2 linked regions of the Callithrix jacchus genome follow. The protein of the gene in region 1 purifies or fractionates together with the protein of each later gene. This does not show direct contact. Links are inferred from orthologs where the notes say so. Each region holds a gene or a part of one and is shown on either strand. Other genes may lie near its edges. The genes, in order: INPP5E and PDE6D.

Region 1 (4,235 bases):
TGTGAGTCCCGAGCTTCCTTTAAGGTGCCGGGACCAAAGAGCAACTGGCTGAGGGGGACCCCAAACCCTGCTCTGCACCAGCGGGGCACTCACCATGTTTGGACCTGGCTGAATGAGGGGAGGGCACTGTGTTCTCACTCAGCGTCTCGGAGGAGCCGCGGGGTTCGTTGAGTGTCAGTTCACAGCTTTTGAGAGAGGCCCTAGTTACTGAAGTGACTTTCTCTCCTGCTGCAAAGACATTTCCAGCCTTGCTTTCCCTTCTGTGCCCTTATTAGGACCATAGGTGATTCTGTGCACCCAAAGTGCTGGCCACCACCCACCCACCAGGTGTGGCCCAGTCACTGGGAAGGAGCCGACTGTCTGACGTGATGGCTCCGGGTGGCCATCTGGGGTGAAAACGCAACTGTGACGTTTGATTTGGGCTTCATTTTGCGTGTGGGAGCTGCTTAGACTCACTGTTAAGGAGGCTGGATGCCGTTCTCTAAACGGCTGCCCTTCCCCCTTCCGTGAGCACTTTCCGTGCTGCAGGCCATGTGACCCACTTTCTCACCCGGGGGACACTGGCTTAGGGGTCGGTAGCATCTTGGGGACAGCAGCTCTGGCACCTGGTATTTCTGTCCCGATGTCCTGGTGGACTTAGCCCTGTGGAACTCAGAGTTCAACGCTGATGCAAAGCTTTAAGGCTTCTCTGACTGTTCTGAAAACTGTTCATATCCTTGTTATGTCTAAAGAGACAAAAGATTTAAATACTAATAAAACTCAATAGATAATTTCTGCGGGTTGGTGTTTTAAATTTCAGTGTAGAAATGGTAGAATGTGGGATCAGCACGGGCCCTTCCTGGCTTTCTGTTTCACTTGATCATTTAGCAGAGACCCCCAGGATGTTTCACAGGCGTGTCTGCCTGATCCATTTGTCCTTGTCACTTGGAGAAAGGCCTGTCCCTGTGACGGGGCAGCCCGCTCTGTCCCTTGGTCAGCTCGTGTGGTTCCAGGGATCTCCTCCGGTCCGCCCTGCCTGCTGTTCTGGGGTCGACTGCCACGATTTTTGATTCAAGAAGCTTCCTCCAGGCGGAAGCAGCTATTTTTCCTAAATGCGAATTGTTACATTGCAAATTGTTGAATAAAATATTTTGCGCTCCTTCAAGCACCTTCACCTGTGGTTCCCTTTGGTTTGCTAGAAGCGCGTGAGTGCAGGTGTCCGCAGGCCTGGCCCTCGCCCAGGTCCTCGCCGGGACCTGCCGGGTTGCCCGGCTGCGGGTTGGGGGGGCGTGGGAGCCCTGTCCGGGCCCCGCGCGGCGCGGTCCTCCGGCCGCCAGGGGCCGCTGTGGACGGCGCGCGGGGCGGAGACTGGGCGCGGGGGCGGGGCCGGGGACCGGGCGCGGGCCCGCGGCGGTCGTTGCTAGGGCCCAGTCGGGCAGACTCCGCCTCCGCGGGCGCGAGTACGAGGTCGGCTTCGAGTCTGCGGGTCCGGCCGGGCTGCCCGGGTCCTGCCCTCCTCCCAGGCGGCGTTCCGGTCGCGGTCGAGCCTCATCCGCGACAGCGCCCACCCGCCTGTCCTCTCAGGCCCTGCCTGCGGCCCGCCCTGGGATCGGCGTCGGGGAGCCCGGAGGGGCCGCGGTACCCGGGGTCCGGGCGATGCGGCAGCCGCCCCCGCCCCTCCGCGACCACTCCCGGCCCGAGCGGGAGCCGCTGCGGCCTTTCGGCTCCGTGCTGCGCCACCGACCCCGGACCCGGCACCCGTGACCCCTCCCGGGAGGGCCCGACCATGCCGTCCAAGGCGGCGAGCCTGCGGCCCTCGGAGCCGGCCCCGCGGCCGCCGGAAGGGAGGATGCTCCAGGGACCGCTTCCCGGCGCCGACGGAGCGCTGGCCCCGCGCGAGGGGTCCCCACCCGACGCTCCGGGCCCCGAGAGCCCCGCTCTGGGTTGCAGCGCTCCGGCCACGCTCAGCGGCGAGGAAACCCCGGCCCAGGCAGTACCCATCGCCCCGCGGCCCCCCGCCAGGCCTCGGCTGGAGCGAGCCCTGTCCCTGGACGACAGAAGCTGGAGGAGGCGGCGTTTTCGAGGCAGCCAGGAAGACCTGGAAGCCAGGAATGGGACCAGCCCCTCCAGGGGCTCGGTGCAGAGCGATGGCCCCGGCGCCCCCGCCCACAGCTGCTCCCCGCCCTGCCTGAGCGCGTCCCTGCAGGAGATCCCCAAGTCCCGCAGGGTCCCGGGCAGTGAGAGGGGGGGCCCGTCATCGGGGGGTGACCCCCTCTTCGGGGTGGCCAGCAGCGCCCCGAACCTCCTTCACGGAGACGCCACCGTGGCGGGGAGCTCGCCCAGGCTGGCCAGCCTGCTGCCCCCGCGCCCCCTGCCTGCCCTGGGCCTGGACATCGCCTCCGACTCCCTGAGGACCGCAAACAAGGTCGACCCGGATCTTGCAGACTACAAGCTCCGCGCGCACCCCCGCCTGGTGCGCGCCCACAGCAGCCTGGGCCCCGCCCGGCCCCGGAGCCCCCTGGCCTGCGACGACTGCTCCCTTCGCTCGGCCAAATCCTCCTTCAGCCTCCTAGCGCCCATCCGCACCAAGGACGTCCGCAGCAGGTAGGGCGTGGGGCGCAGCGCCCGCGCGGCCTTCGGTGTGGTGTTCAGGAGCAGGCTGCCTGAACCCTGCCAGTGGCTTCCCGTCAGCAGCGTTTAAGATGCCTAAACAGAAAAAACGAAGCCGGTCTCCCGCAGCCACCCGGTCTCCCAGCCCCTCCCCGCAGCAGCGAGCGCCCTTCCCGGCTCTCCCAAACTTCCTAGAACTTTTCCTGTGCGTTTCAGAACCATTCCTGGGCATGATGTCGTGTTGAGGTAGATAAGATGGCACCCTGCATACAATTATGGATCTGGCTGTTTTTCTTTAGTCTTGGGAATTTTTTTTTGAGACCGAGTCTCGGTCTGTCACCCAGGCTGGAGTGCACTGACCCAACCTCGGCTCACTGCAGCCTCCGCCTCCTCGGTTCAAGCGATTCTCCTGCCTCGGCCTCCCGAGTAGCTGGGATTACGGGCTTGCACCACCATGCCTGGCTAATTTTTGTATTTTTAGTAGAGACTGGGTTTCACCATGATGGCCAGGCTGGTCTTGAACTCTTCACCTCGTGATCCACCCAACCCGGCCTCCCACAGTGCTGGGATGACAGGCGTGACCGCCGCACAGGCGGGCCGAGGCGTGGGAATGTTGTCAGCGTGTGTGACCTGCCCTCTCGATGGTTTTTGTTTGTTCCCTGCTCTGTTGCCCAGGCTGGAGCACAGTGGCGTCATCCTGGCTCACTGCAGCGTCCGCCTCCTGGGTTCAAGGGAAGTGATTCTCTCTTGAAGCGATTCTCCTGCCTCAGCCTTCAGAGTATCTGGGATTACAGGCGCCTGCCACCACACCCGGCTAAATTTTGTATTTGTAGTAGAAACGGGATTTCGCCATGTTGGCCAGGCTGGCCTCGAACTCCCGGCCTTGGCCTCCCAAAGTGCTGGGATTACAAGTGCGGGCCCCTGCGCCCAGCCCGCCCCCTTTGTTTTTTCTGCTGCAAAAGGCCCAAGATGTACTGAAGCGTACTTTCCGTCAGCCGCTTGCTCACGGGGAACATTTTGGTGGGCTCCAGCTGGAAGGAGCTGCAGCTGAAAGGAGCTGCAGCTGAACCCATGACCTCTCCCCAGCCTGGTCTTGTTTTGGGATCTTGGTCTGGGGGCCTCTCCCGAGCAGAAGCACCGGTGCGCCTTCGTTTCTTCCCCTCCCCGCTCCATGCTACCCACGTCTTGTCTGTCTGCTGCGGTGGGAGGCAGGGCAGGTGTGAGAAGGGAGAGGTGAGAGCTGGTTTCTGCTTTGGTGTCCGGGGCGCAGTAACCCCTGACGACGGACTGGGAGGCTTGAGACAGCAGAGCTGGACTGTTTCCCAGTTCTAGAGGCCAGAAGTCTAAAATCTCAGCTGCGGCCAGGCCAGCCTCTCTCCAGAGGCTCGGGGAGGGCCCTCCCTGTCTCCTCCTGCTCCCGGGGCCTGGTTGCCCTTGGCTTGTGGCCGCACGCCGCGGTCTCTGCCTCCGTCTTTACCTGGCCTCATTCCCATATCTCTGTTCCCGTCTCTTTTTATAAGGACACCGGTCGTTGAATTTACTGCCCACCCTAAATCCAGGGTGATGTCAAGATCCTTAATTAAGTAAATCTGCAAAGACCCCTTTCCAAATAAGGTCCCACTCCCAGGTTCTGTGGGTCGAGGCAG
Region 2 (3,804 bases), on another chromosome or scaffold:
ACCTTGGGAGGCCAAGGCAGGTAGATCACCTGAGGTCAGGAGTTCAAGACCTTCAGGAGTTCAGCCTGGCCAACATGGCGAAACCCCAATTCTGCTAAAAAAATACAAAAATTAGTTGGGTGTGGTGGTGGGTGCCTGTAATCCTAGCAACTCAGAGGTTAAGGCAGGAGATTCACTTGAACCCAGGAGGCAGAGGTTGCAGTGAGCTGAGATTGAGCCACTGCAATTCAGCCTGGGCAACAGAGAGACTCTGTCTCAAAAAAAAAAAAAAAGAAAAAGAAACCCCAAAAACTTAAAAAGTAGAGACAGGCATGATGGCACATGCCTGTAGTCCTACCTACTTAGGAGGCTGAGGCAGGAAGATCACTTTAGCCCAGGAGTTGGAGTCCAGCCTGGGCAACATGGTAAGACCCTGTTTCTAAAAAATATAAATAAATAAACAAATAAAACCCAAAAAACAAAAAGCCTAAAAGTAAATAACCTCAATTTAACAGATTCAATATGGCTTTCATAAAGGACCTGTTGAAAGAGATGATCCAATATTACACAATTATCTGTGGGACTAACTGGTTTTTTCTTTTTCTTTTTTTTTTTTTTTTTGAGACAGAGTTTCGCTGTTGTTACCCAGACTGGAGTGCAATGGCACGATCTCAGCTCACCGCAACCTCCGCCTTCTGGGTTCAAGCAATTCTCCTGCCTCAGCCTCCCGAGTAGCTGGGACTACAGGCGTGCACCACCATGCCCAGCTAATTTTTGTATTTTTAGTAGAGATGGGGTTTCACCTTGTTGACCAGAATGGTCTGGATCTCTTGACCTCGTGATCCACCCGCCTCGGCCTCCCAAAGTGCTGGGATATAGGCGTGAGCCACCGTGCCCGGCCTACTGTTTTTTTTAAACAGAGTCTCACTCTGTTACCCAGGCTGGAACAGTGGGGCAATCTTGACTCACTGCAACTTCCACCTCTCGGGTTCAAGCAATTCTCCTACCTCAGCCTCCCGAATAGCTGGGATTACAGGCATGTGCCATCACGCCAAGAGTTAACTTGGAACTAACTCTTTAGAAAGTACTATTACTGTAACATTTGAGAGACTAACATCCTTCCCACAGAAAATGGGAGGTGAGAAGTTATTGACAGTATTTTTGGACAAAGGACAAACAAATTATTCTTTGAAGAGGAAGTAAAGCTATAAATATGGTGAGCTATTCGCCAAAAAACTGTAACCAAGTATTATACTCAAAAGTTTAATTTTTTTTTTTGAGATGGAGTCTCGCTCAGTCGCTGGGCTGGAGTACAGTGATGCAATCTTGGCTCACTGCAACCTTTGCCTCCCAGGTTCAAGCGATTCTCCTGCCTCAGCCTCCTGAGTAGCTGGGACTATAGGGACATGCCACCATGCCCAGCTAATTTTTGTATTTTTAGTAGAGATGGGGTTTCACCATGTTGGCCAGGATGGTCTTGATTTCTTGACCTTGTGATCCACCCGCCTCACCCTCCCAAAGTGCTAGGGAAAACAGAATTATTAATAGGACTTTGCCAGATTCTGTTAAAGGTGATCTAAACAAAATACAGAAGTACCAGAAGTATGATAATCAGGAATGAGAGCAAATTAACATAGATTTGGTATATATTAAAGGCAGTCTCCTTTCATGTCATTTCATTTTATCTTCATTACACCTCTGTAAGACAGAATTATTAATTCTGTGTTTAGAGATTAAAGACTAAGGCTCAGAGAAATAAAGTATATTAGTGCCCAAGATGACACAGGTAGTCAGGGTGAATCAGGAATTTAAACCTGGTCTAAAGGTTTTTTTTATACTTTCCACTCTATCACACTGTCTTTTTCATATGAAAAAGGTCAGGAACCTGGAAACCTAGATACCCTTGGATGCTCCTTTTACTCTATTTCTCAGCTGAATTCTCTGCCCACTGAATGGCATCAGGAGTCCCACCTGCCTGGAATGCCTGTTTCTAGACACACTTCATAATTTCCTGAGACCTGCTCACTCACGTTAAGACGCTTGCTGGCATCATCTGGGACTCGGGTGCTGCCTCTATCAAGGACTGCCAGGTATTTGTGGAGTTAGGGATCACAAAGCCAAACTCGAAGAACCATTCTGAAGGAAGAAGGAAAAGCCTGGGTGAGCAGGTGCCCCAGTATAAAGTTTAAGGGCTCTTTGTTTCCCTCCTCTAGAGTGAGCCTCTTTCTACCATGAAAACCAACAAAGGAAGCTATCAGCAACCTCCCAGACCAGAGGCATAAAGAAAGACAGGGAAGCCTCCTTTAGGTTGTCGTCTGAACCACACCAAAGGCTTGCTTCTCCTGATTTGAGGTCTAAAGGACTAGGACCAGCAAGCAGGATACAATATAAGCAGCATTTTCTTAGATGTAGGCTAGATGTGAACTATACATAGATACATAGCTAAATTCACCTGGAATTAGCTCAAAGGGGCATATGTGCCCTCTTACACTGCTTGGTGAGAAGTCAATGCAGAGTGGCCTTGCCAGTCAAATCTGTATGATACTGTATGTAGAGCACTGTACTAGGCCCTGCTCACAGCAGCTTCCTCCATGACCGTATCACAATACAACGTCAGTGCCTAAACCAGGCACCACCCATGCTCCTAGTGTCAGAGACCTCAAAGCCCCTTGTATTGGCCAGCGTTGTTTTGGTTTGTTTTCACTGGGGATCCCCAGTCTTGCAGGGTGTAGGAATCCTACCACAAACTGAGTTGTAAAAGGAGTTATCAAAGCACTGCTTTAGTTCACTGGTGTGCCTTTTGTCCTGGTTGCCCTAAGCCCTGATTTCAGGCATGTAGGCAGCAGAATACCTTCTAGGCATTGCCCTTTGAAGTAAACTTTTTGTTCCAGGCGGAATTTTTCCATTTGTTCTATTGAAGAAAAATTCAGTTCTCGAGACACTGCCTTGCACTTGAGGATTTTCTTGGGAACACGGGCTGATAAGAGAGAAACAAATGTTCAAGCCATTCTAAATGAAAACCACCTGACTATGATGCTTCAGATTTCTGGGAGTTTCTTACAGCTGATTTAGACAACACTTTATTTATTACATTTTGGATAATGCCTTGGTAACTGCATTACACTTTGTATGGCTGAAGGCAGAGGTCTCCAATTGGTCACCTGTAACTGAAAGATACTAGACCTTCACAGAACACCACATTTTGTTCATTTAAGGGCCTCATCTAGCTACTCTCATCAGGAAGGAGGCTGCATAGGTACCTTCTCTCTACTCTCTTCTGGTGATTTTAACCCCTTCTTTTATTTGAGGGAGATAAAAATGAAAAATTTTCTTTTGGAGAAAAAAGCTGAGATCTTAGTTATCTTTGGATACGTCCTAATGGTAAAATTTCAGCACAAAGTGGGGTTTTGGGAAGTGGGATGGGCGTGGTGGGTCACGCCTATAATCCCAGCACTTTAGGAGGCTGAGGCGGGCAGATCACTTGAGGTCGGGAGTTCGAGACAAGGATGGCCAACATGGTGAAACTCGTCTCTACTAAAAATACAAAAATTAGCTGGGCGTGGTGGCATGCGCCTGTAGTCCCAGCTACTTGGGAGGCTGAAGCAGAAGAATCGCTTCAACCCAGGAAGCAGAGGTTGCAGTGAGCCAAGATTGTGTGACTGCACTCCAGCCTAGGGGATAGAGTGAGACTGTGTCTCAAAAAAAAAAAAAAGAAAGTAACTGAAACTGTCAACAACACATGGATTAACATGCTGTGTCTTGAGGGGCTCACCAGCCTATTAGGTATGTGTTAACTTAGCTCTCTGATGCCCAGGCCCTAGTCTG

Evidence for each region.
Region 2: the proteins of INPP5E (region 1) and PDE6D purify together in Homo sapiens (affinity purification with mass spectrometry; 3 studies listed by BioGRID and IntAct, with this or other methods). This does not show direct contact. The link is inferred for Callithrix jacchus from reciprocal best matches to the Homo sapiens genes INPP5E and PDE6D.

The regions. Positions count from the first base shown.
Region 1 is NC_133502.1:184,909,149-184,913,383, reverse strand, and holds the start of INPP5E (phosphatidylinositol polyphosphate 5-phosphatase type IV), read left to right. Parts: upstream 1-1,416; 5' UTR 1,417-1,765; coding exon 1,766-2,583; intron 2,584-4,235. UniProt on the Homo sapiens protein: Phosphatidylinositol (PtdIns) phosphatase that specifically hydrolyzes the 5-phosphate of phosphatidylinositol-3,4,5-trisphosphate (PtdIns(3,4,5)P3), phosphatidylinositol 4,5-bisphosphate (PtdIns(4,5)P2) and phosphatidylinositol 3,5-bisphosphate (PtdIns(3,5)P2).
Region 2 is NC_133507.1:153,172,729-153,176,532, forward strand, and holds part of PDE6D (retinal rod rhodopsin-sensitive cGMP 3',5'-cyclic phosphodiesterase subunit delta), read right to left. Parts: intron 2,957-3,804; coding exon 2,831-2,956; intron 2,116-2,830; coding exon 2,010-2,115; intron 1-2,009. UniProt on the Homo sapiens protein: Promotes the release of prenylated target proteins from cellular membranes. Modulates the activity of prenylated or palmitoylated Ras family members by regulating their subcellular location.